Linked DNA regions of Saccharomyces cerevisiae S288C. The gene in region 1 interacts genetically with each later gene. Each region holds a gene or a part of one and is shown in the gene's direction. Other genes may lie near its edges.

Region 1 (7,848 bases):
AATGTATCGAAATTGTACCCTGTCTTTGCACTTACGGCCACATACGGCAGACCCTGTAACTCCGCCGGTATAGTCACTTCCCCTGAATGCTCTTCGCAGACTAAATCGTACTTATTGCCCACGATAATTACCTGCGTTCCCTGAGCACGGTCCTGTAAATCTTGAAACCATGTCTTTGCACATTGCAGACTGGATACGTCTCCCAATTCGAATACAATCAAAGCAATATTCGCATCTCGATAATACATTGGCACCAGTGATTTATACCGTTCCTGACCCGCCGTGTCCCATATCTCCATATGGATACGTTTCTCCGTAGAGGAGTCGTTAGAAGGAACCTCGATTGTCTTGGTGATGAACGCCGCACCTATCGTAGCCGCATGTTTTGCTAGAAACTTACCTGATTTGAGCCTAGTCACTATACTGGTTTTCCCCACTGATGAATCTCCTAGCAGTACCACTTTGATGGTTGCTTCCATATCGTATTCCTCCGTATTTTGTGCTACTTGTATTTCCTGGAGTAATTTTACTATCATTGTTCCTTAACGTGAAACGTAAGGCTAAAAAACAATAAACGACAAAAAAAAAACAAAAAAATGAAAAATGCAGAGGAGTTTCTCTGCATTTACTGGAAGCGATTAAATAAGATTGCCTCAAGAAAAGAAGTTATCGGTATAATCTTTTGTAGGTAATGAAGTTTACGTTAGAAGACCAAGTTGTGTTGATCACTGGTGGTTCACAAGGTCTTGGAAAGGAATTCGCCAAAAAATATTATAATGAGGCTGAAAACACAAAGATTATTATCGTCAGTAGGTCAGAGGCTAGACTGCTGGACACATGCAACGAAATTAGGATTGAAGCTCACCTGAGAAGGGAAACCACTGACGAGGGCCAAGTGCAACATAAGTTGGCTGCGCCCTTGGACCTTGAGCAACGGTTATTTTACTACCCATGCGACTTGTCCTGCTACGAATCCGTGGAATGTTTGTTCAATGCCCTGAGAGACTTGGATTTACTCCCTACACAAACGTTATGCTGTGCAGGGGGGGCTGTTCCTAAGTTATTTCGTGGGCTAAGCGGACATGAGTTGAACTTGGGTATGGACATCAACTATAAAACAACTTTGAACGTGGCACATCAGATTGCCCTTGCAGAGCAAACCAAGGAACACCACCTCATCATCTTTTCTAGTGCCACCGCGCTTTACCCATTTGTGGGCTATTCCCAGTATGCGCCTGCAAAAGCTGCAATCAAATCACTGGTAGCAATCTTAAGACAAGAACTGACGAACTTCCGTATCAGTTGTGTTTATCCTGGTAATTTTGAAAGCGAAGGTTTCACTGTAGAGCAGCTAACGAAACCCGAAATTACAAAGTTGATCGAAGGCCCCTCAGACGCTATCCCATGCAAACAAGCATGTGATATCATTGCCAAGTCGCTGGCCAGAGGTGATGATGACGTTTTTACAGATTTTGTCGGATGGATGATAATGGGGATGGACCTTGGGCTCACCGCAAAGAAAAGCCGCTTTGTTCCGTTGCAATGGATTTTTGGTGTCCTATCAAACATTCTGGTCGTGCCATTCTACATGGTTGGCTGTTCCTGGTATATCAGGAAATGGTTTCGTGAAAATGACGGCAAGAAGGCCAACTGAGAGCACATCCACTCTCATTCCCGATATTCCCCGTGACTCTCTTTATTTCTTTCAAGACAAACCCTAGTGGTGTAGCTATTTGTACATGTATAAGTATATACGAAATATTAATTATAACATTATTACCACGGCGATATTTTCCTATTTTTATTCTCTTTTCTTACTATATTTTGAAAGTTTTTCTTATGGGTACCGATGCGATGAGGTGAAAAAAATTTTCCTCTTTCCACTTTTAGTACAGGTTATGAGATGCTTCTCATTAGAAGTCAAGAAGAGAGCATATCAGTAACAATACGATGAGTAGCAGTGGTGTTTATACGTGTAATTCATGTGTCCTGACCTTTGATTCAAGCGACGAGCAGCGGGCCCACATGAAGTCCGATTGGCATCGCTACAATTTGAAAAGACGTGTTGCACAATTGCCACCAATATCATTTGAGACATTTGACTCCAAAGTGTCTGCAGCTGCTGCCAGTACTAGTAAGTCTGCTGAAAAGGAGAAACCTGTTACCAAAAAGGAGTTGAAAAGAAGGGAAAAGCAAGCATTGCTCGAAAAGAAAAAGAAACTGTTGGAAATTGCCAGGGCTAATATGCTTGAAAACATGCAAAAGAGCCAAGAGGGAAATACTCCCGACCTAAGCAAGCTCTCTTTGCAAGAAAATGAGGAGAACAAGGAAAAGGAAGAACCTAAGAAGGAGGAGCCTGAACAGTTGACCGAGGAAGAAATGGCGGAAAGAGTAATGCAAGAAAAGCTACGCAACAGAGTCGATATTCCACTGGAACAATGTCTATTTTGTGAGCACAATAAGCACTTCAAAGATGTTGAAGAAAACCTGGAACACATGTTTAGGACCCACGGGTTTTATATCCCAGAACAGAAATATCTAGTCGACAAGATCGGCTTGGTAAAATACATGTCGGAGAAGATTGGTCTTGGGAACATTTGTATTGTTTGTAATTACCAGGGGAGAACGTTGACCGCTGTAAGACAGCACATGTTGGCAAAGAGACACTGTAAAATTCCCTACGAAAGCGAGGATGAAAGGTTGGAGATATCTGAATTCTACGATTTTACAAGCTCATACGCAAACTTTAATAGCAACACAACACCAGACAACGAAGATGACTGGGAAGACGTGGGCAGCGACGAAGCCGGAAGCGACGACGAAGATCTGCCACAAGAGTACTTATATAACGATGGTATAGAGCTGCATCTACCGACAGGCATCAAAGTTGGCCACAGGTCCTTGCAAAGATACTACAAGCAAGACTTAAAGCCCGAGGTGATACTGACCGAAGGCCAAGGTACCCTGGTCGCTGCAGAGACGAGATCGTTCTTACCTGCCTTCGACAAAAAGGGCGTGCAGACTCAACAGCGTGTTTGGCAAACTGAGAGGTTCGACAAGAAAAGGCTCGATAAGAGAAGTGCCAAGTTCGTCAATAACCAACCACACTACAGAGACCAACTTCTGCAGTAATTCTTTTTGCACTACTTTTTTTAGTATTTTGTCGCATATATACTGCTTCACCATTTGTACATTAGATAATTCTTCACTACCCCCTCTATAGCAATGTTATAGTCATTGAATCATGCTTTGAAATGCCTGTTCTAATATTCTCTTCATATAATAAATGCGTGATGCCGGGTATTTGTGCGCCCTTGTTTGGCGCAAAAATCTCGAAAGTGAAAAAACTAATAGGCTTCTTAAAGCAGTTATATCTACAGCAAAGGAAATAGCTGCTGAAGACTGAAGATGTTGGCGCGCAGTTTGGGTTACAGGTTGATATCGACCAGTCGTATCTTATATAATAAACCCACGGTTAAGTCAGTGGTGTCGTCGTGTCCTGCGGGAACATCGCTTAACTTAAACATATGGAAGAGCGGTAAAGACGCAGTGGCACTCGAGGACAAGGAGTATCCAAATTGGTTATGGAGCGTATTGGATAGTGATCACGTTGTCGAACATGCGGCTGAGGACCCAGAGGGACAGGCTCTCTTAAAGAGAAGAAAGAACATAAGGAAGGCGAACAGGCAGCGAATCAAGCAAAACAATTTCTTGAGCCAACTTTAAGCCTCCGTTAATAAGATCAAGTTTGGTATCCTTGTAAATAAATATGTGTGTACGTGGTTAAATAGTATGTTTTTAGCATAATGCCTTATTTTGTACCAACAAAAACATGATAGTTCCCACATATCTTTTCGCCTGGGGAATACCAAGTGGGACAAACAAAACGTTAAAAATTAAATCCTTTAGAGTACCACAAATTCGCAAGAAACAAGATAGTTGAATTGTCAATCATGGCTAAGATAAGTATGAATGTGCCCAGTGTAAAGATCAAAAACATGCCAAAGGTAAGGTTAAAAAGCACTAGAAAGACTGTCTCCACGAAAAACATGCGAAATAGGTTCAATTCATACTCGAAAAGAATTCGAAGGACGCTCACAAGAAAGAGATTTTAGGCAAACATGAAACGTATGCATTTCATAACACACACATATATATATTATATATTCAAAATAAAGCATAACAACATACATATTGAAAAGTAAATTGAACGTTACGCAGTTTCATCAAATAAGAATAGTATTATTAAAAATTGGCCGGACCAAATATCTAGAAATCCGTTACTCTTCCGTTAAACGAATAATCGCCGTGTCTCAACGGGTCCTGCTTGGGACCCCCAACTTCACCAGTCTTGGGGTTAACATCACCTTCGAATTCAGGTATGGTCTTGGAAAATTCAGGCGAGAATGACCCAATATCGTTTTTGGTTAAAAGCGGTGAATTCAAACTCTCCTTTGTACGATCGCCGGTGGCCTGCGCATTATACTGATCTATTGCCTCTTGCGATGTGGCAATCCTCTGAAGTCTTTCGAACTCTTCCTGCTCTTCTCTTGGCAGCTTGGGAGGGCCGGGGATCCTTTCAGTAGTTATTTTTCGGGTGGCCATATTAAATGGTCGTCCACGTAGTAGATTTAAGGCTCCCGTGCGAGGATACCGATAACCTGTGCTTTTGATGGCGCACAACATTAGTTCTTCTTTTTATTATTTGGTTCTTTCTGACTCTTTAGCAAGTTAATATGATCTGCACTTTCCCCATTGGCCCCTTTATAGGGCGGAAAAGAGCATCTGTTTTTCCGGATTCTTGGAACAAGAAAAAGGAAATACACCTATCTATATGCCACTATTGTATATTACTAAATAAAATATTTAATTATATACTCATGCGTATGCCCTCAAGAAGTTCACCAATAATTCTTTGGTTTCTGCTGTTACCTTTTATGGTATTCAGGATCCCAAAACACTGCAGCAGCGTCAGTTTATCTTCCTCTGTGACGCCGTTCTGTTCTTCCTCGCTGAAAATATATCTTTGAAAACTCTTACTGGCACCGTCATTTGTATGTAGGAAGCTTTCGTAATACGGAAGAATGATGGAGTCTCTAAAACACTTTAATAAAAGGACATCAATTGACGGTGCGTACCTTGAAGGTTCAGATAGATATCCGTCAAGCCAGTAGTTACTATTTTTTTGGAAGCTTTTCTCGAAGGGCAGTAACACTGCCATCATGTCGTAGTAAACCTGTTGGTAAAACACCTTCCAGATTATGCCGACTCTTTTCAAAGCCGTATTTACGGTATCCTCATTGGCATAATTGAACACAATCTGGTTCTCTAAAATGTAAAGTGAAGTGGTAATGAATTCCTCGATTTCGGCCAAAAACCTTGAGTGCGTTACGGCAGCCTTGGTTTGTGTTTTCAAAGTGATATAAAATTCCAGCAGCCGGTCAATATCTTCTATTTTTGCTGGCAATTGCCATACCCTCTTGTTTTTAAATAGCTCCACAACTATGCTGCAGTATATACCCCAGATATTCCCCTCCAGAACAAATAACTCCTGTACGGTGAAGCTTTTATAGTTTGCTATCAAGGATGGCAAGTTTTTCAGTAAATCATGTAGTAAAGAAACATTAGTCGCGTCGAAAGCATCATCTTGGATCAGCGATAGAGCTGTATCATTAGGGTTGTTGTTAATGCTAGGGTTAAAGGAATATACAGATTTTCCAGAGTCAATAAGGCCTCCAGTAGAAGTATGGATAAACTGTACGGGTGACCTATGTTTACCATATGAAGAATGCAGAAATTTACTGAATGGGCTGGGAACTACGGGTTCAACGTCGTCTTTACCAATGGAATTATGCGGCTTGTAGGGTAAAAGCTTTTTTGCCATTTTGCTAAAGACATTACTGCCTTTGTTTGAATGAGAATGTCCTGTAGACAGTGAAGATTGTAAACTGTTCACACTCATATTAGATTTCGTATGAAACAATTTAGAGCCACTCCTACTTATGTTGTTACTACTTGTGCCGGTAATAACAGTGCCGTAGTTTTTTGACCCGCTCCTGCTTCGATTTCTCATATTATCTTTTGAATTGGTGAAGATGGACAGTCGCCTTTTATTGCCCCTTGAGTTGGAAGAAAATAAACTATCATTAGACGTGGTGTTCCCCTCCATTCGGTTACTACTTGATGAACCTATTTCGGAGTGACCATCGTTATTCTCCGTGCCTTGGCTGTACTCCTCTTCAATCGAATCCGTCGAGCGCCTTGCATTGGAACCATCATGGAATATAGATTGAAACCCCACCTGTGACCATCTAGGAGCGGCATCATGAGGAGATTTGGATGTTTTTAGATGCACATCTTCGTCGGGATGTGTCAGCGCTTGCGGTACTATATCAGAAGAAACACTATAAACTCTAGCTGGTTTGCGATTAGTTGCTTTTATGTTCGGGTTCGTGACGCTCAGTGAGCCTGAGGTAGCACTTCTTTTACGATTTAGGTCTGTTGCCATTGCTTGACTCTGTAGTTTAAGACTCGCCTAGCCACTTATGCTTATTGTGGTTTGTATTTTTTATTTACTGTCTTCTATCTTTCTCCCTTTAATTTTGACCTTATTTTAAAGCCCGCAAAGATCGCTGAAAAATTGCTAGTAAAGGTCGCATGCAAAATGGATAAAGTGCTCTTGTCAAATTATTTCAACACCTTCATTCGCAGTATAGTGGTATATTGGATTGGGTAAAGGAAAACAGGCGACACCAATATTGGTTTAAGCTAGTAGCGTATGCAGCTCTATCCAGGCATTAAAATTGGTTCACCTATTTCTGATAGTAGTTTTTTTTTTTCCAATCGTAAATTTTTTCTTCAATTTCGCGATGAGCTACAAAATAATAGTAGTGCAATCTGTATATTACTTTTCAAGTATCTAACTCATGCAAGTTAGGAGTTCCATAGCGGATATTTCACTATGTTTGATCCTCTCGATTTGTACACCCCTGATGACATCCAGGTTGAGGCTTTACAGTTCAATCTAGCAGAGAGAGAGCCAAAAGATCCTTGCTCACCGCAACGTGACGAAATATTAACGGCTGTAGATGAAGAAGAGAGTGACGACGATGACACCATTATCGATAATCTGGATCTGCCCTCCGTGAAGTATGCTCCGCCAGAAGTTATCCTTTGTATACTAATACTTCTGAAGCCCGATAGACAAGTAAACTTCAATCAGGAGACAGGGAAGAACAAATCTGTACTGGAGGTTTGCAAGAGTCATGGGCTGGAACCCGATCTGCTGAAAAGACTTTTGACTTGGTATACAGAAGAATGGCCTAACAAGAGGTTAAACTCGTTGGAAAAGATATGCAATAAAATCCCAATGCTGAGATTTACAGTATCCAAAGAACTACTGTTGGGCTACTATACTAGTGTATTGAAAAAATACAATAATAGTTGCGGATTGAATGAGGAAATCATACAAGAACTTCTTAAGGAATTGAGCTCAAGGATATCCGAAAACTGTGGGAGAACGGCCCAACCATCCATAGTAAGATATTTTGAATTAAGAAATCTAAGCACTTCCATACCGCTTCATGAACCCTCTTTAACGGCCGATAATCTTGGTTGGAAAACATGGGGATCATCTTTAATACTTTCACAATTAGTCGTAGATCACCTGGATTACCTACATACCACTAATGTGAACATGTTAGCGAACAGCGACATCAAACAGATTAAAGTATTAGAATTAGGAGCGGGCACTGGTTTAGTAGGACTTTCATGGGCCTTAAAATGGAAAGAACTTTATGGAACTGAAAATATAGAAATCTTCGTGACGGATTTACCCGAGATTGTGAC
Region 2 (4,532 bases), on another chromosome or scaffold:
TGACACAGCTGACGAGCTGGAAAGCTCTGCTATCTTAAAGATGAGGGAGTCTGATGCATCTTTAAATGTTACCACCGGCAATAATACATCAAGGAAAACGACTTCCAATTCCAAAAAACGATGGTCTCTATTATCCAATCATTCTGCTGTTTCATCATCTAAATCTAAGAAAAGATGGTCTGTACTTTCTTCAAGCTTTACCAGTGAATCTCATAAGGACAGGGAATCGAGGAACGTTTTGCAACAAAAAAGAAAATCCTTGCAGAGTTATTCAAGCTTAGATACGGTAGCATCTAATAGCTCTATCTCTGCTTCTTCTTCTTTGAAAAGATCGTCCACTGGTCTTTCCCTCAGACAATTGTTTACCAAGATAGGCATAAACGATGATATATCACAACCTGGGATCGGGATTCCGCAAGGTAAGGAAAATCTGCCTCCAACTATGGGCAAAAAAAATTCATCAATTGCTTCCACTAGTTCGGAAAACAGACTTAGGACACCATTGAAGCCGCTTGTTAATCATTCTAAAAGGCCCACTTCACAACCACAACAGCAACAACCACTATATAATGCATCATTGTCCTCGAGAAGATCGTCGATTTCTTCCACTGTCTCTTCTTCCAGCTCGTCTAAATGGAGATTCTGGAAGAGAAATAAGAACCAGACACCTGCATTGTTGCAACCAGACCACCATTCTTTAAAAACCTTTCCTGCAGTAAACCGTCGTGATTCCATGACGCCCGTTGAACCAAGAAATATGGTAAAACATAAGACATCCTTTTCAGATTTCCATAAGACTATCTTCAGTTCAAATACGTATTCTGAAAGCAGCGATACAATATCTTCCATGGAAATTACTTTGAAAAACAAAGCTTCTTCCTCAAGTCTATCTTTGAACGTGTTGAAGAAAAGGAATTCGCAATCAAGTTTGAAGCACAAAAGTTCACATGCATCCTTACAAAAATTCAAAAGAAACAAAGGAAAGTCCTCCATGATAGCACCATCGACAGCAACTAATAGCAGCAATGATGACTCTTGTAGCTACAGTTCCAAAAATTCTACGTTGAGTCACCGAATATCGTTACCTGTACCGGACCAAGTTTCCCGTGATAAAATTCAGAACAAATTAAGATATTCGACCTCATTACTCTCATTAAATTCTAAATCATCTTTACCGATGAACAAAAATGATCATGATGAGACACTTCTAAGACAGATTTTACTAAATTGTGATATAAAGAGAATTTTAAACCCCGCAAAAGGAGATGTATTGCCTTTAATCAACGATGTAAACCATTTGTCATCAATACAATTAACATCAAATGTTTGGCAAATTGGTGAAGTAATCTGTAAAAAAGTTTCTCTCGGTACTATTGATGACATTACATGGGATAGAAAGTTCTTATCTTTGCAGGAACTGGAAAAACTCAAAATCATGCAACAAAAATTTGATGGCATACCGCAACTATTGAAAAGTTTTGTTGTTAAAGAGGCAAATGGGGGGTTGTATTTGTACTTACTATTCAAAGATCACGGTACCCCAATTTCGTTAATCTCACTGAAAAACTGGAAGCAGATTCTAAAGATTTTTTGGTCTTGTGCTGGTATAATTCATGGGTTGGAAAAAAATTTGAAATTTGAACATCGTAATCTTACTTTGGATAATATTTTGATAGATGGTAATGGGAATATAACAATTATTGATTTTAAATGCAGTAGATTGCAAACTCCTCAAGATGATGTTTTATATCTACGGCTAGATCATCCACTCTTTTTTCTAAATGGGAAAGACAAGAGTAAAATAAACGAATACCAGTATCAATTTGAGTTTGAAATCTATCAAAGTATGCGGATCTTGTTGAACATGGACGCGTCAGCTTTTGAGCCCATGACAAATTTGTATTGGTTATATTACCTGTCACGCGTTTTACTAAAGTTTGGTGACAGGAAGCTTGGTAAGAATGATGCAAACAGGGATAAAATGGCAAGGGTGATAAACCATTTGGAAATGAACTTGGCAGTTCATAAAAGAGGGGGGCAGTTATTCAAAAGATTGGAGACGGAGGACATTAAGAATACTGGAGATTTACTAAAACTTTATAAATAAAACAAATAGGAATGTTGACATTTATATTTCATTTTCTTTCTATTGTATACTCCAATACATAAACATATTATATATACGTACATAATGTAATAACACTAATCTAAAATAATGGCATCGTCGACAGCATCCAAGGCTTTCTCCTCTTGAGTCTCCACAGATGCAGGTGCTTCCATTTTGGGAGTCAAAAACAATTGCTTAACGATAAATTCCACGCCGTTGATGACATTCATCAATGCCCAAACCCAGATTCCCAAAGAGACACTCTGTAAAGCCATATCATCAAACTTGGAAGCACCAAATTTGCCCTCCATTATATGCCATTTCTGAGAAATAGTCCTTAGAGGATGCAAGAGAACATATAACCAGCCTTGAGACCAAACACCACTTACAAACGTAGGGAACAAGGTGCTAGTCGAGGAACTCAACTTGTAAACTGGTGTCTTGCCGTACATAATCTTAAACACAAAAAATGGCACCGTCAATGCCAATAACCTGAGTTTGTGAAGATGGGCCTGAAAGGCTTTATTTTCTGATTGTATTTCGTCCTTCAAGTTATTTATTTCTTTATCTAACGAGTCCAATTTTCTATTGTTCTTAGTCCATTTGGCATAATTATCCTGCGCGGAGATAGAGTTGTTGAATTCTTTTAATTCGTGACGTTCTTTGACCTTGGCTAAGTATTTTTTGGATAATTCATTTCCTGGTGCAAATTTAGAGATCCATTTCTCGTGGTATTTGTTTGTATACTGTAGAAACTTTGTGACCACAATAAAGAATATCGCTACCGCTGCTGCCCAATGCATTTCTCCTATTTCAATCAACTAGACGTAGTTCAAGGATTGCAAACTGTCCTGCTTTCTTTTATCTGGTCTTTTTATCCCGAGGTATTGTTGTATATACCACTACTCTGTGATTTTTTTTCACTCTTGGGAAGGAAAGAAAAAGTGAAAACATCAACTGGTAAGTGTCTAATGACAAAAACAGGAGGTAGTTGGTACGTGCAAAACACGATAGTGACGTTAATCCGAATCTGTAAATTGGTGAATTGGTATTTAGAAGCGACCATTAGCTAAAAGAGAGAGAAAACTATGTCGCAAGAGTTTGTGGAAGACTATTCACGTACAGGGTCCTCAGACGACGAGGATAGTGGAGCTTATGACGAGTGGATTCCATCGTTCTGTTCCAGATTTGGTCACGAGTACTTCTGCCAAGTCCCGACAGAGTTTATCGAGGATGATTTCAATATGACCTCGTTATCCCAAGAGGTACCCCACTACCGGAAAGCTCTGGATTTGATATTGGATTTGGAGGCTATGAGTGATGAAGAAGAGGACGAAGACGACGTGGTGGAAGAAGACGAAGTGGATCAAGAGATGCAGAGTAATGACGGTCATGATGAAGGCAAAAGGAGAAACAAGTCGCCAGTGGTGAACAAGAGTATTATCGAGCACGCAGCAGAACAGTTATACGGATTGATACATGCAAGATTTATTCTGACCAAGCCAGGCCTGCAAGCAATGGCTGAAAAATTCGACCACAAGGAATTTGGAACGTGCCCCCGTTACTATTGTAATGGCATGCAGTTGCTGCCTTGTGGGTTGAGCGATACAGTTGGGAAACACACCGTAAGGTTGTACTGTCCCAGTTGTCAGGACTTGTATCTTCCCCAATCATCTAGATTCCTGTGCTTAGAAGGTGCATTTTGGGGGACAAGCTTCCCTGGTGTGTTCTTGAAACATTTCAAAGAATTGGAAGAGTATGTGGAAAGGAAAAGTAAAGAGTCCTACGAGTTGAAAGTTTTTGGGTTCAGGATAAATGATGAGGCAGTATCTGGTCCTAGAATGAAGTGGTTGAGACAATATCCATCCACGGAGGAGGACTGGGAAGAATTTGCCAAATGCGAGTTCGAGACACCGGCGGTTTAACCCTTGATTTATTTTCCTCTTTGCCCTACCATATACATATGTACTTTACCTATTTACATTGTTTCAGTTTTTATATCACCACTATTATTATTATTACTATTACCACTTTGGAGTACTTTAGTGATTCATTTCCAATTGTTTTCCTGGAGCCCAGTCTTTGAATGCCTTGGCCAAGTTGTACCAGTACTTTAGCTCCACGGTCAACTTCACTGCGGCGGCGTAATCCTTGTCATTGTAGCATTGTCCCAACTGGGCTTCAATATCTTGAATTCTTTCCTTGTTTTGCTTTTCAAGCAGCTTCACACCAGCTTCGTCGTCCATCTGGGATAATTCATCATGGATGTCTAGAACTTTCAATAGTAACTGTGGATCACTGGTAGTTACTTCATTTGAGGTCTGTTCTTGCGTCAAATCGATATTGCGCAAGAGTTTTAGCATATATTGTGACCTTCTAAGGGGATCTTTGAGAGTATGGTAAGCTTGATTAAGAGTTGATGACT
Region 3 (7,875 bases), on another chromosome or scaffold:
TCCTCACCCTTTTTCTGTAGTTTACCTTCATTCTCATGTGAAAGTTGAAGTGTCCTGCTATTTCCACTCTTGGCTAAGCTCATGAGGTCACTGGAACCCTTTTCTTCATCGCTGGCCACTAGTTTCTCTTCGCTAAAATTAATTTTCTGCCTCTTTTTCTGGTTCTTTTCATCAGAAGAGCTTTTGTTCACTAATCTCTTTCTGAACATGAATACCTGGAGCTTTGATTAAGTGATGGAGCTTTCGATGGCTTTAGCTTGAGTCCACTTCAGATAGAGATGCGCATGGCTTTTTCTTATTATTCTCCGGTTGCACGGAAAGAAGCGGGAAGAGGACTAAAGGGTTTTTGGATCAGCTTCACAAAATATATACTTGGATACGTTCGCTACTGAGGTAAAGTGGGCATGCAAGGTTGCAATTTAGGATTCGAGCTGTCTAGTTGATCCTCCGGAGTGTAAAAACTGATTTTCAATGAGTGGTAACACAACTAACGTGCATGAGACTAGAGCCAAGTTTGCAGAGACGCTGCAACCGAGGATTGGTGGCAATACTACAAAAGTGATACGAGCTGCTTTGGAAAAGAACGAAGCTGAAAGCGGGGTGTCTGAGGATAATGATAACGGGTCATTGGAGAAAGTTAACGTAGCTACTTCGCCGCTTTTGACATCAACACCGCCCACAATCTCAAAGGCGTTGGTGAAATTGTACCCTTATTTAATTCTCATTGACGAATTCCTAAACGTTGTTACATGGACAGGAAAGAATATTTGGAGCAGTGTTTTGATGCTGTGTCTCTTTATTACTACCGTTGAGTATTTTGAAACGCTGGTGAAGTACTTTGGACATCTTGCCATCATTGCTATTTTGTGGGGTTATTCCCTATTGGACAATTATATTGAGGGTACGTTGAGCTCCTCACCAACATTAGAAGATATTGCTCTCTTAATGAACAGAGTATCCTTGAAGTCAGATATTTTGCTCTCCCCCATGGTTAACCTTGGAACGCAAGATATTCAACGGCTTCTATATACTACGGTCATATTATCTCCAATATACGTGATGATAACCTGGCTACTTTTACCACCGAGAAGCTTGATGCTGATGGTGGGCATGTTCCTTTTAACGTATCACTCACCATGGTCTAAAGTAGCAAGAAGGCTTTTATGGAAGTTTAAGATTGTCAGGCTGCTTGTTTTCTACGTCACGGGTTTAGACCTTGGTGGAATAAATAAGGACCAGGGTATTTTTGCTACAGTGCAGAAGCAAGTGAAAAAGTTGGCATCAACAGAAAACAGTAATGGCGTATTATCCGATTCCAAGCCTATCCGTTTTACTTATGTTTTGTACGAGAACCAGCGTCGTTGGTTAGGTATTGGATGGAAGCCTAGTATGTTGAGTTATGAGAGGACTCCATGGACCGATGAATTTTTGAATGAGGCTCCCTCTCCTGAAAACTTCCATCTACCTGAAGAGACTAACACTATGGTTTGGAGATGGGTCGACAAGACATGGAGGCTAGACATGACTAATGACGGTGCCATTCAAGTGCCCAATTCAAAGGCAAGAACTTCCGCAGATCCCTCCCCTGACGAGGGATTTATATATTACGACAATACCTGGAAAAAACCAAGTAAAGAAGATTCCTTTTCTAAATATACAAGAAGAAGAAGATGGGTAAGAACCGCAGAATTGGTCAAAACTTCTGACTTTGATGAAAGCGTGATAAATTCGAATAGAAATTCTGCCATTGAACAAAAGGTTGAAGAAAACAGCACGAATGGTTTAACCGCTGAGCAAGAGCTTGGGAGCAACAAGCAAGAGAAAGATAATGCGAAAAAAGTAGGAGAGCCTACAACAGAAGAGACAAAAGAATTTGCCGAAGCATCAAACATCAACGAAGGCGAGTTTGAAAGAATTTCCTCGACCGATGAAGAAGTTTTAAAATCTAGGGCAAGAGATCGACTGGCAAAAGTATTAGATGATACTGAAGAGAAAGAGCAATCAAATCCAACCATTGGTCGCGATAGCAAGAAGGCCGTATGATGCTCGCTCCCGTTTTTACCTTTACATAATATAATCTCTAATTTACTTTATTACACAAATGGTAACTCCCTTTAAATAAACTTAAAAAAGAACGTATAGAACTCTCTTCTTCAATGAATAGTAATCCAATTTTTTTTATTAACTATACAACGTTATGACTTTAAAAATTAAAAAATATGTTTATGAGTAGTAAGAAAAACAAAAGGAAACAAAAACAAAAAAAGTTATAAAGCCTATTTCTACTTCCTGTATAACGAACACAAATGGATATTATTCTTTATGCGGATGGGAAAGTATTCTTAGTTTTTTTTGTTCCAGTCTCGTTATGATAACACTCCGATCATTCCTTATTTTTCTTATAATCTGTTAACCTTCAAAGTTGGTGGCAAAGATTGGATCAATTTCTTAGCCTTACCAGCATCGTTGATAACCAAAGTGTACAAAGAAGAAGAGCCTCTAACCTTGAACTTGGTTTGTCTGAATGGCTTACCGGCCTTGTTCAATTTTTTGTTAATCTTAACAGTGGCGGTCTTAACGTCAGCTCTTCTGGTCAATTCCAAAAATTGTTTGATGTCGGTGATTTCTCTAGCCATTTTTCCTTGATATTTTGTCGTACTATATTCAACCTGAAATAAAAAACTAACAGTTGAAATATTTCTACATTGAAATTAGAAAATTTAATTCTTTAGATTGAAGATTCAATATTGTGCAAAAGCGTACAGCAGCAATCACGACTCTACATGCCATAGAGCTTGGAAAACTCTCCATAATTTTCCACTCGAACGTATGATGCTCCGTCTATTTTTTTCAACAGTTGCACGGACGAGTCCTCCTTTTCGCAAGGCATTTTAATTGTGTGGGTTTATGAAAATGCACGGATGCATTTTCTCTAGATGAAAATTCCGTCTTGGAATAATATCGGAATGAGCTAAAAGAACACCAGTACGCGAATATGTGAGATGCCCTGTTTTGTCACATAACAGCGGCAGTTAATTTGGCGTCTTTTCTGGGAAGCGAGTTTATTTGGCAAGGCTATGATGTTTTATAATACTAATCACGCATTGCAACTTCACAAAGTAGTTGTGACATGTGGATGTAATAGCGTTACTTTTCTTTTTGTTTATTGCTATTTGTTTCTATTTTCTTTTTTTAAATCGCGCTAATACGTGGAAAAATGCGTAGAAGCCGGGAATGGGACGTGATTATGAGATCATAACATGACTGCGAGCTAGAGAGCATTGGAAGAATTTGCTTTTTTGTTCAGTTCCCTACTCATATATTTGTTTCATAGAAGTCGTAGTATACGTGAGACAAGAGCACTTGAAAATAAATCTTGGATCTGCTGGGAGCAATATCATCAAGTAAAATAAGGGGGAAACCATATCAAATGTCAGGGTTCATTAAGAGCACGTTGCTTGGTCTAGGCCAAGATTACTTAGAAGATCAATATCAAGAGTTCGCAGAACAGCATTTCCAGCCAACCAGGGATCCGTTTTATGAAACGAATAAAGATGGTAAAAAGCACCGCCGCAGACTGCCATATTATTGCACTAAGGATGAAAGTAAAGCGTGGAAAAAGGTCCAAAACAAAGCCTGGCTGCATGACAAATCACTGTGCGGATGCTGTTGCTGGACAAACACTATAGGATGGGCACCATTACTTGCACTTCTACCGGTTATAGGACCCTTATTGATGTATTGGGTGCATGATAAGTTGATTGAATTGGCAGATGACAGGTATAAATTGCCTGCGGAAATCAAGGTGAAGATGCATGGTAATATCGTTATCGATTTACTTATTAGTTTAGTTCCTATTCTGGGAAGTGTTTTTGCATGGTTGCACGCATGTTCCACGAGAAACGCAGCTATAGTTTACAATTTTGTTGGAAAAAGGGCATTGGAAAGAAAGCAAGCGGAGCTCATGCATCAAAAAGAAGAAAATGAGAAACATTCCAATGCCAATACTGCACCTCCAGTAGTTGGTGGCAACAAAAATGTGAATGGAAACAGAAATAATAGTAAAATGTATAACAGACCGCCTGTGACAGCTCCACCTGCACCAGCATACACGCGCAGTACTAACGGTCGCCCCCAAAGAGGTTACAGGTGAACAAACCGGCCACGGTAAGGCTACATTCTTATCAACAAATATGGGCAATCAAAAACTTATAATGTAAATTTTATTTTTTATCGTAAACATGTATTTAAGAAGTAATATAAAGGATGTTTGACATGATCATTTTATATATGCATACACGTTATTGAAGTTATATGGTCGTTAAATCATTAAAAGGCCCGTTTCTTTGAAATATGCTAACGGAATCAAACCGGTCGGGTCGGTTAGATGTGGTATTGTTGCAAATCAGAAAGCCTTCTTTCATTGTTTTGGGAGTTAGAGCCCCTTCTGGTCTTGTTGAAGACTGTCTTAATTTCGCCAGAATCGATTAAGTCATTAATCTCATCGCCAGGCTTGCCCCAATTGCCTTTCCCATAGCCTCCTCTCTTGACGTGGTTGGGAGACTCCCCAAAGTTGCCGTTATGGGTGAAATACTTTGGGTTAGACTTTGCTTCGTGGACTGTCCATTTGCTAGTTCTGGTCATGTTTGAATTGTGTTTGTGTTAGAAATTTGTGTGCTTTAATGTTATGTTATAATGAAATCTTATTAGATTTATTTAACGTTTTTGCTGTGCTTATAATAAACATTACATAATAAAAGGAGTAGAAGAAAGTGGTAGAGAGGAGTACAAATCTACCTGCCAGAACTCTCTCCTTATATATATTTCCAGTGGTGTCTGGATTACCTACCTCAAGCCATACCATATCCATACCATATCCATAAACGCCTACAAAATTTCTACCCCAATCCAGCAGCTTCTATCACTATCTCGTATACCACCATAGGCACCACCACTGTTTGTGTAAATTTACTCCTGAGGGGGGGGTGGCTCAACACGGTGTAGGCCTTCTTCCCGCACAATCCGATGAAACCCCACAATCGCCTCCGTCTCTTCCACTGTGCACGGCGCTAGCTCAACATCTTCCCCGCCACATTTACTGTGGCAAAGAAGGTGCATAATCTAAAAAAACATACGTATGAGAATGGAAAGGGCAAGATAATATCGGACCGTAGTGAGTCACTTGCTTTTGGTATTGCAACCAACTGCCGCCCCTCTTCCCGCTCTTGCACCAAAACGCTAAATGCCCATTGTGATGGCTCATCCACCCTCACGACGAAGTAAGACCCGGGGCACAAGAAAATACGAGATCATAACAGTTCGAGTCCGTTTATTGTGTGCGGTTTTGGTACGCTTTTTCGTGAGGTGTACTACCATTCATGAGAGTCGTTTTAGGAGCTGTCATGAAAGATATGTATCTTGTTGATGAACTGTAAAAATTTGCAGAAATTGCGCTATTCCGTTTATTTCATTGTCGATTCGGTGTTAATATTAGGGGTACAAAATATACTAGAAGTTCTCCCTCGAGGATATAGGAATGCGCAAATGGGCATTTGATGTGACACAAAATTTGGACAATATAACGATTCATTTTTAGATCGTTGTTCAACCGTCCCAGTGGCCGAGTGGTTAAGGCGATGCCTGCTATTTCCTCAGAAAAGCAATTAGGCATTGGGTTTTACCTGCGCAGGTTCGAATCCTGTCTGTGACGCTTTTTTTAATTTCTTTACTCCATGACAAAAGCGGATAAAAATTCCCGCATTCGGCGTAAAAAAATCCGGTTTTTTTTTTAGCACTCGCTGTTTTTGCCTCTACCGGGTGAAAAATGACGATGAAGACGGCTGGAATTGCGCTGCATCCGCTTACGTAGGATAGAACACCTACAAAGATTTACGAACTTTATTGCTCGAAGATTCGCTATCCATATCTTTTTAGTTTCCCCCCATTTCACAATGGGATACCGTTGTTTTTTCTGTAGGTACGCTTTCTCATAGTTAATAGAGTCAGTAATTCATTTCATTTTTTGCAGAAAGGAATTTCTTCACCTAATTTAGAATTTCATCAACATTTATTGTATCTGCATGGTATAACAAATTAGAAAAATTTGGAAGGGAAAAAAAAACTGTTGCGTCAATTACTTATACCAGGGATAGAAAAAAAAAAAGGAAACATGGATCCCACAAGAGCTCCGGATTTCAAACCGCCATCTGCAGACGAGGAATTGATTCCTCCACCCGACCCGGAATCTAAAATTCCCAAATCTATTCCAATTATTCCATACGTCTTAGCCGATGCGAATTCCTCTATAGATGCACCTTTTAATATTAAGAGGAAGAAAAAGCATCCTAAGCATCATCATCACCATCATCACAGTCGTAAAGAAGGCAATGATAAAAAACATCAGCATATTCCATTGAACCAAGACGACTTTCAACCACTTTCCGCAGAAGTGTCTTCCGAAGATGATGACGCGGATTTTAGATCCAAGGAGAGATACGGTTCAGATTCAACCACAGAATCAGAAACTAGAGGTGTTCAGAAATATCAGATTGCTGATTTAGAAGAAGTTCCACATGGAATCGTTCGTCAAGCAAGAACCTTGGAAGACTACGAATTCCCCTCACACAGATTATCGAAAAAATTACTGGATCCAAATAAACTGCCGTTAGTAATAGTAGCATGTGGGTCTTTTTCACCAATCACCTACTTGCATCTAAGAATGTTTGAAATGGCTTTAGATGCAATCTCTGAACAAACAAGGTTTGAAGTCATAGGTGGATATTACTCCCCTGTTAGTGATAACTATCAAAAGCAAGGCTTGGCCCCATCCTACCATAGAGTACGTATGTGTGAATTGGCCTGCGAAAGAACCTCATCTTGGTTGATGGTGGATGCATGGGAGTCATTGCAACCTTCATACACAAGAACTGCCAAGGTCTTGGATCATTTCAATCACGAAATCAATATTAAGAGAGGTGGTGTAGCTACTGTTACTGGAGAAAAAATTGGTGTGAAAATAATGTTGCTGGCTGGTGGTGACCTAATAGAGTCAATGGGTGAACCAAACGTTTGGGCGGACGCCGATTTACATCACATTCTCGGTAATTACGGTTGTTTGATTGTCGAACGTACTGGTTCTGATGTAAGGTCTTTTTTGTTATCCCATGATATTATGTATGAACATAGAAGGAATATTCTTATCATCAAGCAACTCATCTATAATGATATTTCTTCCACGAAAGTTCGTCTATTTATCAGACGCGCCATGTCTGTACAATATTTGTTACCTAATTCGGTCATCAGGTATATCCAAGAACATAGACTATATGTGGACCAAACCGAACCTGTTAAGCAAGTTCTTGGAAACAAAGAATGATTTGCCGTCCGGAATTGCTTCGTTCTTTCTTTCATCTTTCTCTTTACAATTTCCAATTTTCCCCTACAGGAATTAATTGGAGGGTACAAGCGAGTAGAAATGTGACATATGACTTACCTATCTGTGTTTTAGTATAGTTTTTTTTTCTGTAGTATAATTCACTTTTACACTAATTTTTTCGCCTTTTTCTCTTAAAGAGCTAATTTCTATAACCTTCAGCGGTTATACCAAATATAAAAAATGGAAGGAAAACAAACAGTAAGAAATAAGCGCAACAGCACGTTAGTTCACCATTGGATTCCAACATTTCAAAATTTAATCTAATGGCAAGAGATATCACATTTTTGACCGTATTTTTAGAAAGTTGTGGCGCTGTAAATAATGATGAGGCAGGAAAATTGTTATCTGCTTGGACTTCAACCGTACGCATTGAGGGACCGGAATCAACCGACTCTAATTCATTATATATTCCACTGCTACCACCTGGAATGTTGAAAGTA
Region 4 (8,650 bases), on another chromosome or scaffold:
ATATTCATCTACACAATTGTCGAGTTTAAATCGGGCCTCAAAAAGTGAAACAGTTAATTTCACTGCTTCTATTGCTTCCACACCATTTGGTACAGATTCGGCTACTTCTCTAATAGACCCCATTAGTTCAGTGGGTTCTACAGCATCTAGCTTTGTGGGAATTTCAACCGCCAATTTTAGTACACAAGGGAACTCGAACTATGTTCCTGAATCAACTGCAAGTGGAAGTTCACAATACCAGGACTGGTCAAGCTCTTCTCTTCCGCTGTCACAAACCACTTGGGTTGTCATCAACACAACTAATACACAAGGGTCTGTAACGTCAACCACATCCCCGGCTTATGTTTCTACGGCCACCAAAACGGTTGACGGGGTGATCACCGAATATGTTACATGGTGTCCTCTAACACAAACCAAATCACAAGCAATTGGGGTCAGTTCGTCCATTTCTAGCGTTCCACAAGCCTCCTCATTTAGCGGTAGTTCTATTTTGAGCTCCAATTCCAGCACTCTTGCTGCCTCGAACAACGTTCCTGAATCAACTGCAAGCGGAAGTTCACAATACCAGGACTGGTCAAGCTCTTCTCTTCCGCTGTCACAAACCACTTGGGTTGTCATCAACACAACTAATACACAAGGGTCTGTAACGTCAACCACATCCCCGGCTTATGTTTCTACGGCCACCAAAACGGTTGACGGGGTGATCACCGAATATGTTACATGGTGTCCTCTAACACAAACCAAATCACAAGCAATTGGGATCAGTTCATCCACGATTAGCGCCACACAAACCTCTAAACCATCTTCAATATTAACATTGGGGATATCGACCTTACAATTGTCTGATGCCACATTTAAGGGGACTGAAACTATAAACACCCATCTCATGACCGAAAGTACTTCAATCACAGAGCCCACCTATTTTAGTGGCACATCGGATAGTTTTTATTTGTGCACCAGTGAAGTTAATCTTGCGTCTTCCTTATCTTCTTATCCAAATTTTTCATCTTCAGAAGGCTCTACGGCGACCATTACTAACTCTACCGTTACATTTGGATCGACCAGCAAGTATCCATCTACTAGTGTATCTAACCCAACAGAAGCCAGCCAACATGTGAGCTCTAGTGTGAACTCACTCACTGATTTTACTTCAAATTCAACCGAAACCATCGCAGTTATATCTAATATTCACAAAACTTCGTCAAATAAAGACTATTCATTGACGACTACGCAATTAAAGACCAGCGGAATGCAAACGCTTGTGCTTTCTACTGTCACAACAACGGTGAACGGTGCTGCTACGGAATACACAACGTGGTGCCCGGCATCAAGTATTGCTTATACGACATCCATATCATATAAAACATTAGTTTTGACCACTGAAGTCTGCTCTCATTCTGAGTGTACTCCAACGGTTATTACCAGTGTTACTGCAACAAGCTCTACAATCCCCCTTTTATCAACCTCTAGCTCTACGGTATTATCTTCTACAGTATCCGAAGGTGCAAAAAATCCCGCTGCTTCTGAAGTAACTATTAATACCCAAGTTTCTGCTACTTCCGAAGCTACTAGTACTAGCACTCAAGTGTCTGCTACTTCTGCGACGGCCACTGCTAGCGAGAGTTCAACCACATCCCAGGTTTCTACTGCTTCCGAAACTATTAGCACTCTCGGTACTCAAAACTTTACCACTACTGGAAGCTTACTTTTCCCGGCTTTGTCTACTGAAATGATAAATACTACTGTGGTTTCCCGAAAAACCCTAATTATTAGTACAGAGGTATGTTCCCATTCCAAATGTGTCCCAACAGTCATTACCGAGGTTGTTACTTCGAAAGGCACGCCTTCTAATGGACATTCTTCTCAAACTCTACAAACGGAGGCAGTAGAGGTGACATTGTCATCCCATCAAACCGTAACTATGAGTACCGAAGTATGTTCTAATTCGATTTGCACACCGACTGTTATTACATCTGTGCAAATGAGAAGTACTCCTTTTCCATACTTAACTTCTTCAACGTCAAGTTCCTCTTTAGCCTCCACCAAAAAAAGTTCCTTAGAAGCCTCCTCAGAAATGTCCACCTTTTCTGTCAGTACGCAAAGTTTGCCTTTGGCATTCACAAGTTCAGAAAAACGCTCCACCACATCTGTCTCTCAATGGTCAAATACCGTTTTAACTAATACAATAATGTCCTCTTCTTCTAATGTCATATCAACAAATGAAAAGCCCAGTAGTACTACCTCTCCATACAACTTCTCTTCGGGGTACTCTTTACCTTCTTCTTCTACACCTTCCCAATATTCACTATCTACAGCTACTACAACAATCAACGGAATCAAAACTGTGTACACAACTTGGTGTCCATTGGCAGAAAAATCTACTGTAGCTGCTTCTTCTCAATCTTCCCGCAGTGTTGACAGGTTTGTTTCGTCGTCAAAACCATCCTCATCTTTATCTCAGACCTCTATTCAATATACATTATCTACTGCTACCACCACCATAAGTGGTTTGAAGACTGTATACACGACTTGGTGTCCATTAACAAGTAAATCGACTTTAGGTGCTACTACTCAAACTTCCTCGACAGCCAAAGTTAGAATTACTTCCGCTTCATCTGCAACATCTACTTCTATTTCTTTGAGCACTTCAACAGAATCAGAATCTTCATCTGGATATTTGTCGAAAGGAGTATGCTCAGGTACTGAATGTACGCAAGATGTGCCAACACAATCATCCTCACCTGCTTCAACGTTAGCATATTCCCCCTCTGTTTCTACATCATCATCATCATCATTCTCAACAACAACTGCATCAACACTAACGTCAACACACACCTCTGTCCCGTTATTACCATCATCTAGCTCTATATCAGCATCTTCGCCATCATCAACTTCGTTGTTATCCACTTCTTTACCATCTCCCGCTTTTACGTCATCAACACTTCCAACAGCAACAGCAGTATCTTCCTCCACTTTCATAGCGTCTTCTCTACCATTGTCCTCTAAATCATCATTGTCGTTATCGCCAGTCTCGTCGTCTATTTTGATGTCTCAGTTTTCATCATCATCATCATCATCATCATCATTGGCATCGTTGCCATCTCTTTCTATATCACCAACTGTTGACACTGTTTCTGTTCTACAACCAACTACTTCCATCGCAACACTAACTTGCACAGACTCACAATGCCAACAGGAGGTATCCACTATCTGTAATGGATCCAACTGTGACGATGTGACTTCAACTGCCACTACTCCTCCATCTACGGTTACTGATACTATGACATGTACTGGATCTGAGTGCCAGAAAACCACATCTAGCAGCTGTGATGGTTACTCGTGTAAAGTATCCGAAACGTATAAATCAAGCGCTACAATATCTGCATGTAGTGGAGAAGGATGCCAAGCTTCCGCTACAAGTGAGCTAAATTCTCAATACGTCACGATGACGTCTGTCATTACCCCAAGTGCCATAACAACAACATCAGTGGAAGTGCATTCAACTGAATCCACTATATCAATTACTACAGTGAAGCCAGTTACATATACATCCAGTGATACTAATGGAGAACTGATAACCATAACAAGTTCCAGCCAAACTGTAATTCCATCAGTAACGACGATAATAACGAGAACAAAAGTGGCCATAACTTCAGCACCAAAGCCAACAACTACGACCTATGTCGAGCAACGACTTTCCTCCAGTGGGATTGCTACTTCTTTTGTTGCTGCTGCATCCTCAACTTGGATTACTACACCCATTGTCAGTACGTATGCTGGTTCGGCGTCAAAATTTCTCTGTAGTAAGTTCTTTATGATAATGGTAATGGTGATCAACTTCATTTAATTTCCCGTATATATTATATGTACGTATATATGCTATAAACAGACACTCTTTTTACTTACCTTTAATAATGCTTGATGAGAAATCAGTCATTGTTACTTCTTCCCCAAGGTTGTCATCATAATCATACCATTCATTATCCTCTAGTTGGCATGACATTACTTTCCCCGAACTTAGAGAAACTTCAAACGTTATGGTGTCGGGATAAAATTTGATTAATTCACAACCTCTGCAATCAAGGCTTAAAGGAATGAAAGAATCTTCTTTGACCTTCGATAAACCATGCTTCTTCCGCACATCTTTTATCTTGGCCCATTTGTCGTCACTCTGATCAGTTAAATATTCATCCTCAAAAGCGCACAGGTTAACTGACAATTCTTTTGAACAAAATTTACACTTCATCAAGAAAGATGCGGTACCTTTTGATGCCGGCATAGCATATTCTTCAAATGTATTGATGATGACTTTAGAATCGTGTAATTCTCTACAACTGGTACATTGTAGATCGAAGGCAAATTCTGCCCTTGATTCGTTTGTATTCTCAATTGAAACCTTGGTCACGTTTTCTGATAATGTTGCTTTCAGAACCAAAAATAACGGCATTATCGTACACAACCTGGTTTTCTTTATTGGTTAAGTTGTCTTTATTCAAAATTTTTCATTACTTCTTATAAACAGCTTCTTGACGCTTGTAATTTCATAAGTTTTTGATACAAGCAATGGAAACAAAATTAAGAAAATGTAGGCAACGAAGAACTAAATTTGAAAAAAAAAAAAAAAAAAATTTACTGCCAAGATCATCTAAATTATCTTATAGTAGCAAAGCTTGAGCATAAAAGGATCAATCTTTTAGTTTTTTATGGCAAAGTACATTTGCAGTAAGTAATTAGTGATGAGATAAACAAAGAATAATAATCCAATTCGAAATCAAAAATTCAAACAACAAAAAACATAATTTCACATATATATCTAATTCATTCACGAAAAACACGTCAGTTCCTTCTGTCTGTTGTAAATAGGATGCATCCGCAGTGAATCATGGAAATATTTCAAAACTTTCAGCCCAATCATTTTATTTGGTCAATGAAGCCATAAACGCTCCGTAATTCTAAGATTAAAAAAAATTCATAAAAATAAGGACCAATATAAATATATATATTTAATGTGCTAGTGACAATCCTAGTGATAAAATTGCAAATTATACTACAATTGGTCATGGTGAAGCCTAAACACACCATTACGTCTTCACAGTGTTATTCATTTTATTTTCAAAGGTATGCTACTACTAATGCACCAGTGTATACCATGATACGGTGAAAAGGGCATGTAATATTGCGTTAATTTGTCGATAACCTTTCTTTACGTTTAAATTTTTTTTTTATAACTGGCGACACTAAACTTCTCGATAAAATACAACATAAAAAGCAGTACCTAGCTAAGCGAACAACAGATAATAAATAGCTAAACATCTAGGTTAATAGCCAATTAGCAATACATTTAAGGATTGATAGTGTGGTATTTACAAGGTAATAGCCCGCTAGGCTATAAGGAAACTACTCTAAATTCACCTTCCATATATGTGACTGCCAAGAAAATATTACTAGTTATCAAGCTTTTTTTGTGTGCATTCAACTTCAACGAATCCTTCGTCATCAATGAAACAAAAGAACAAGCCAGAACTGAAAAAAAAAAATCAAAACCACTAAGAATGTCACATCCTTCCAAAACTCCTGCTGGCTCTTCAACTCTTCAAAGAATATCAAGATAAATATCATTATCTCCAGTGTGGCCGACCCATGCATGAGTGCGAGGAGCATTAAGTTGGATCCTGGGAAAACATGTCAAGGACATTCAATAAAGTACTTTTCATACTACAACAGACGCTAGAAGAACTAGAATGTAACCGTGAACTGCCTCTCAAACACATAATTATGATAGCGCCGTCTTCGGCATCCTTTTTCGGAAATATACTTTCCTTTTTCCCTCTTTCAGCTATATTGTTCAAGGAGTAACATAAGACATAATAACCCCAGTTTTTTTAGAGAAAGTTCTTCTTCTTTAATTATAGTATGTTTGAAACGTACAAGAATTCATTGAGTGCCCTAAGGATTACTGCAAACAAGGTTCAACAGTGTTGGTACACATGACTCAGCAAGAATACCGTTCCCCCTCACAACGCTTATCCAAGGGGAGGAGCATGTCGCTACCCAAAATATTTGCTCGTAATTTGAGATCTCTGCAAAACAATGCACCTCCTGGCAAAAACATCAATGTCAATTGTTTGAACGTCAATTCTTGTTCGTTGTCCGCAAGCCCAAGCTCACAAATTAATATGGCTTGTAATGGAAACAAGCAAGATCTTCCCATACCGTTTCCCCTGCATGTAGAATGCAACGATAGCTGGTCAAGCTCCAAACTTAACAAGTTCAAATCAATGTTTAATCATAACAGATCAAAGAGCAGTGGTACTACAGATGCGTCAACTTCAGAAAAAGGTACGCATAAGCGTGAACCCCGGTCGACGATACATACAGAGCTGTTACAAAGTTCCATTATCGGTGAGCCAAATGTCCATAGTACTACAAGTAGCACACTTATACCCAATGAGGCGATATGCTCCACACCTAATGAGATCTCAGGTAGCTCTTCTCCGGACGCGGAGTTATTTACCTTTGACATGCCCACAGACCCGTCATCCTTCCACACTCCTAGCTCCCCAAGTTATATAGCAAAGGACAGTAGAAACCTGAGTAATGGATCTTTGAATGATATTAACGAAAATGAAGAGCTCCAAAATTTCCATAGAAAAATCAGCGAAAATGGCAGTGCCTCCCCCCTGGCTAACTTGTCATTATCCAATTCACCAATTGATTCCCCAAGGAAAAATAGCGAAACCAGAAAGGATCAAATACCTATGAACATAACACCACGTTTAAGGAGGGCCGCTTCCGAACCGTTCAATACGGCAAAGGATGGGTTAATGCGGGAAGATTACATTGCCTTGAAACAACCTCCAAGCTTGGGAGATATTGTAGAACCGAGGAGATCTCGTCGTTTAAGAACCAAGTCATTCGGTAACAAGTTCCAAGACATTACTGTCGAACCTCAATCCTTCGAAAAAATTAGACTACTTGGCCAAGGTGACGTAGGTAAAGTGTATTTAGTGAGGGAACGCGATACCAACCAGATATTCGCCCTGAAAGTTTTGAATAAACATGAGATGATCAAGAGGAAGAAAATTAAACGAGTACTCACTGAACAGGAAATTCTCGCGACAAGTGATCATCCATTTATTGTGACACTGTATCATTCCTTTCAAACCAAAGACTATTTGTATCTCTGTATGGAATACTGCATGGGAGGGGAATTCTTTAGAGCCTTACAAACAAGAAAAAGTAAATGCATTGCAGAAGAAGATGCGAAGTTTTACGCCAGTGAAGTAGTAGCAGCTTTGGAATATTTACACCTACTGGGCTTCATATACAGAGATTTGAAACCCGAAAACATATTACTGCATCAATCTGGTCATGTCATGCTTTCTGACTTTGATTTATCCATCCAAGCAACGGGATCAAAAAAACCCACCATGAAAGACTCTACGTATTTAGATACAAAAATTTGTTCAGATGGATTCAGAACTAATTCCTTTGTTGGTACTGAAGAGTATTTAGCTCCAGAAGTAATCAGAGGGAATGGCCACACTGCAGCAGTAGACTGGTGGACTTTAGGAATATTGATTTACGAGATGCTATTTGGCTGTACTCCATTTAAAGGAGATAATTCAAATGAAACATTCTCTAACATTTTAACCAAGGACGTCAAATTTCCACATGATAAGGAAGTTTCGAAGAATTGTAAAGACCTGATAAAGAAACTACTAAACAAAAACGAGGCAAAAAGGCTTGGTTCCAAATCAGGAGCTGCAGACATAAAGAGACATCCCTTCTTCAAAAAAGTTCAGTGGTCGTTCTTAAGAAACCAAGACCCCCCTCTAATACCTGCATTAAATGATAACGGCTGCGAACTTCCTTTTATATTGTCTTGCAATAAACACCCGAAAAGGAACTCAGTGAGTGAACAGGAAACCAAAATGTTCTGTGAGAAAGTTGCAAACGATGATGAAATTGATGAGGCTGATCCATTCCATGATTTTAATTCTATGAGTTTAACGAAGAAAGATCACAATATCTTAACCTACTCTGAAAATTATACCTACGGAAAAATTCTATACAAAGCAACTTGTACAAGGCCAAGGCATAACAGCTCACATAGAAGTTTCTTTAAAGACATCATACCTGAACTATAACATGTTTACAGAAAGATAAACCCATGGCCAAATTTCTGTATTGTTTCTCTCAATTTATCTTATGATAAAAATGTAAAAAATTATTTAAAAGTAAACAAATAAACAAAGGAACAATTCAAAAACGAGAAAGTGAATGAAAAATATAATATCATTTATTGTCTGATAATGCTGCATTTAGAACATACGTACCATCCGCATCAGTGGATATCCAATGATAGTAATTTCGCGAGTTTATCCGTTGCTGTTATATTATCACTTTTTAATATTCTTTTCAAAGAGCTGAATAATTTCAACGCGTCTTCGTTAATGGATTCCTTCCGCAATTCTTCTGAAATACTGAATGCCCGATTTATAATATCTTTGTCCAGGCGTGCCAATTTCGCCACATTCATCCCATAACTATTATAAGTCAATCCCTTTTTTAACTTATATAGAAAAATTACACTCATCCAGTCCTCGCCAGTTTTTTGTTCTTCCACGTAATCCATATGATAATTCCT

Evidence for each region.
Region 2: mutations in REI1 (region 1) and CKB1 together harm fitness more than expected from each alone (negative genetic interaction), as found in Saccharomyces cerevisiae (3 studies listed by BioGRID, with this or other methods).
Region 3: mutations in REI1 (region 1) and NMA1 together harm fitness more than expected from each alone (negative genetic interaction), as found in Saccharomyces cerevisiae (2 studies listed by BioGRID).
Region 4: mutations in REI1 (region 1) and KIN82 together harm fitness more than expected from each alone (negative genetic interaction), as found in Saccharomyces cerevisiae (4 studies listed by BioGRID).

What each region holds. Positions count from the first base shown.
Region 1 is NC_001134.8:737,891-745,738, forward strand, and holds REI1 (Rei1p), read left to right. Parts: upstream 1-1,950; coding exon 1,951-3,132; downstream 3,133-7,848. Other genes in the region: Rab family GTPase YPT10, read right to left, coding at 1-479; TSC10 (3-dehydrosphinganine reductase), read left to right, coding at 692-1,654; SLM6 (Slm6p), read right to left, coding at 2,046-2,498; mitochondrial 54S ribosomal protein mL54 MRPL37, read left to right, coding at 3,409-3,726; SDH8 (Sdh8p), read right to left, coding at 4,270-4,686; BIT2 (Bit2p), read right to left, coding at 4,871-6,508; EFM2 (S-adenosylmethionine-dependent methyltransferase), read left to right, coding at 6,962-7,848. UniProt on the Saccharomyces cerevisiae protein: Pre-60S-associated factor involved in the cytoplasmic maturation of the 60S subunit. Involved in the dissociation and recycling of other late pre-60S factors like ARX1, TIF6 and ALB1 before newly synthesized large ribosomal subunits enter translation.
Region 2 is NC_001139.9:454,961-459,492, forward strand, and holds CKB1 (casein kinase 2 regulatory subunit CKB1), read left to right. Parts: upstream 1-3,195; coding exon 3,196-4,032; downstream 4,033-4,532. Other genes in the region: protein kinase ALK1, read left to right, coding at 1-2,107; GET complex subunit GET1, read right to left, coding at 2,203-2,910; J-type chaperone JAC1, read right to left, coding at 4,150-4,532. UniProt on the Saccharomyces cerevisiae protein: Regulatory subunit of casein kinase II/CK2.
Region 3 is NC_001144.5:778,744-786,618, forward strand, and holds NMA1 (nicotinamide-nucleotide adenylyltransferase NMA1), read left to right. Parts: upstream 1-6,169; coding exon 6,170-7,375; downstream 7,376-7,875. Other genes in the region: U2-type spliceosomal complex subunit CWC24, read right to left, coding at 1-209; PEX30 (peroxisome biogenesis protein), read left to right, coding at 472-2,043; 60S ribosomal protein eL38 RPL38, read right to left, coding at 2,400-2,636; YLR326W (uncharacterized protein), read left to right, coding at 3,431-4,153; TMA10 (Tma10p), read right to left, coding at 4,384-4,644; REC102 (Rec102p), read left to right, coding at 7,699-7,872. UniProt on the Saccharomyces cerevisiae protein: Catalyzes the formation of NAD(+) from nicotinamide mononucleotide (NMN) and ATP. Can also use the deamidated form; nicotinic acid mononucleotide (NaMN) as substrate to form deamido-NAD(+) (NaAD).
Region 4 is NC_001135.5:268,417-277,066, forward strand, and holds KIN82 (putative serine/threonine protein kinase KIN82), read left to right. Parts: upstream 1-5,987; coding exon 5,988-8,150; downstream 8,151-8,650. Other genes in the region: FIG2 (Fig2p), read left to right, coding at 1-3,847; YCR090C (uncharacterized protein), read right to left, coding at 3,899-4,447; mismatch repair protein MSH3, read right to left, coding at 8,348-8,650. UniProt on the Saccharomyces cerevisiae protein: Flippase activator that phosphorylates DFN1 and DFN2 and which is involved in the generation of phospholipid asymmetry in membranes by the inward translocation of phospholipids.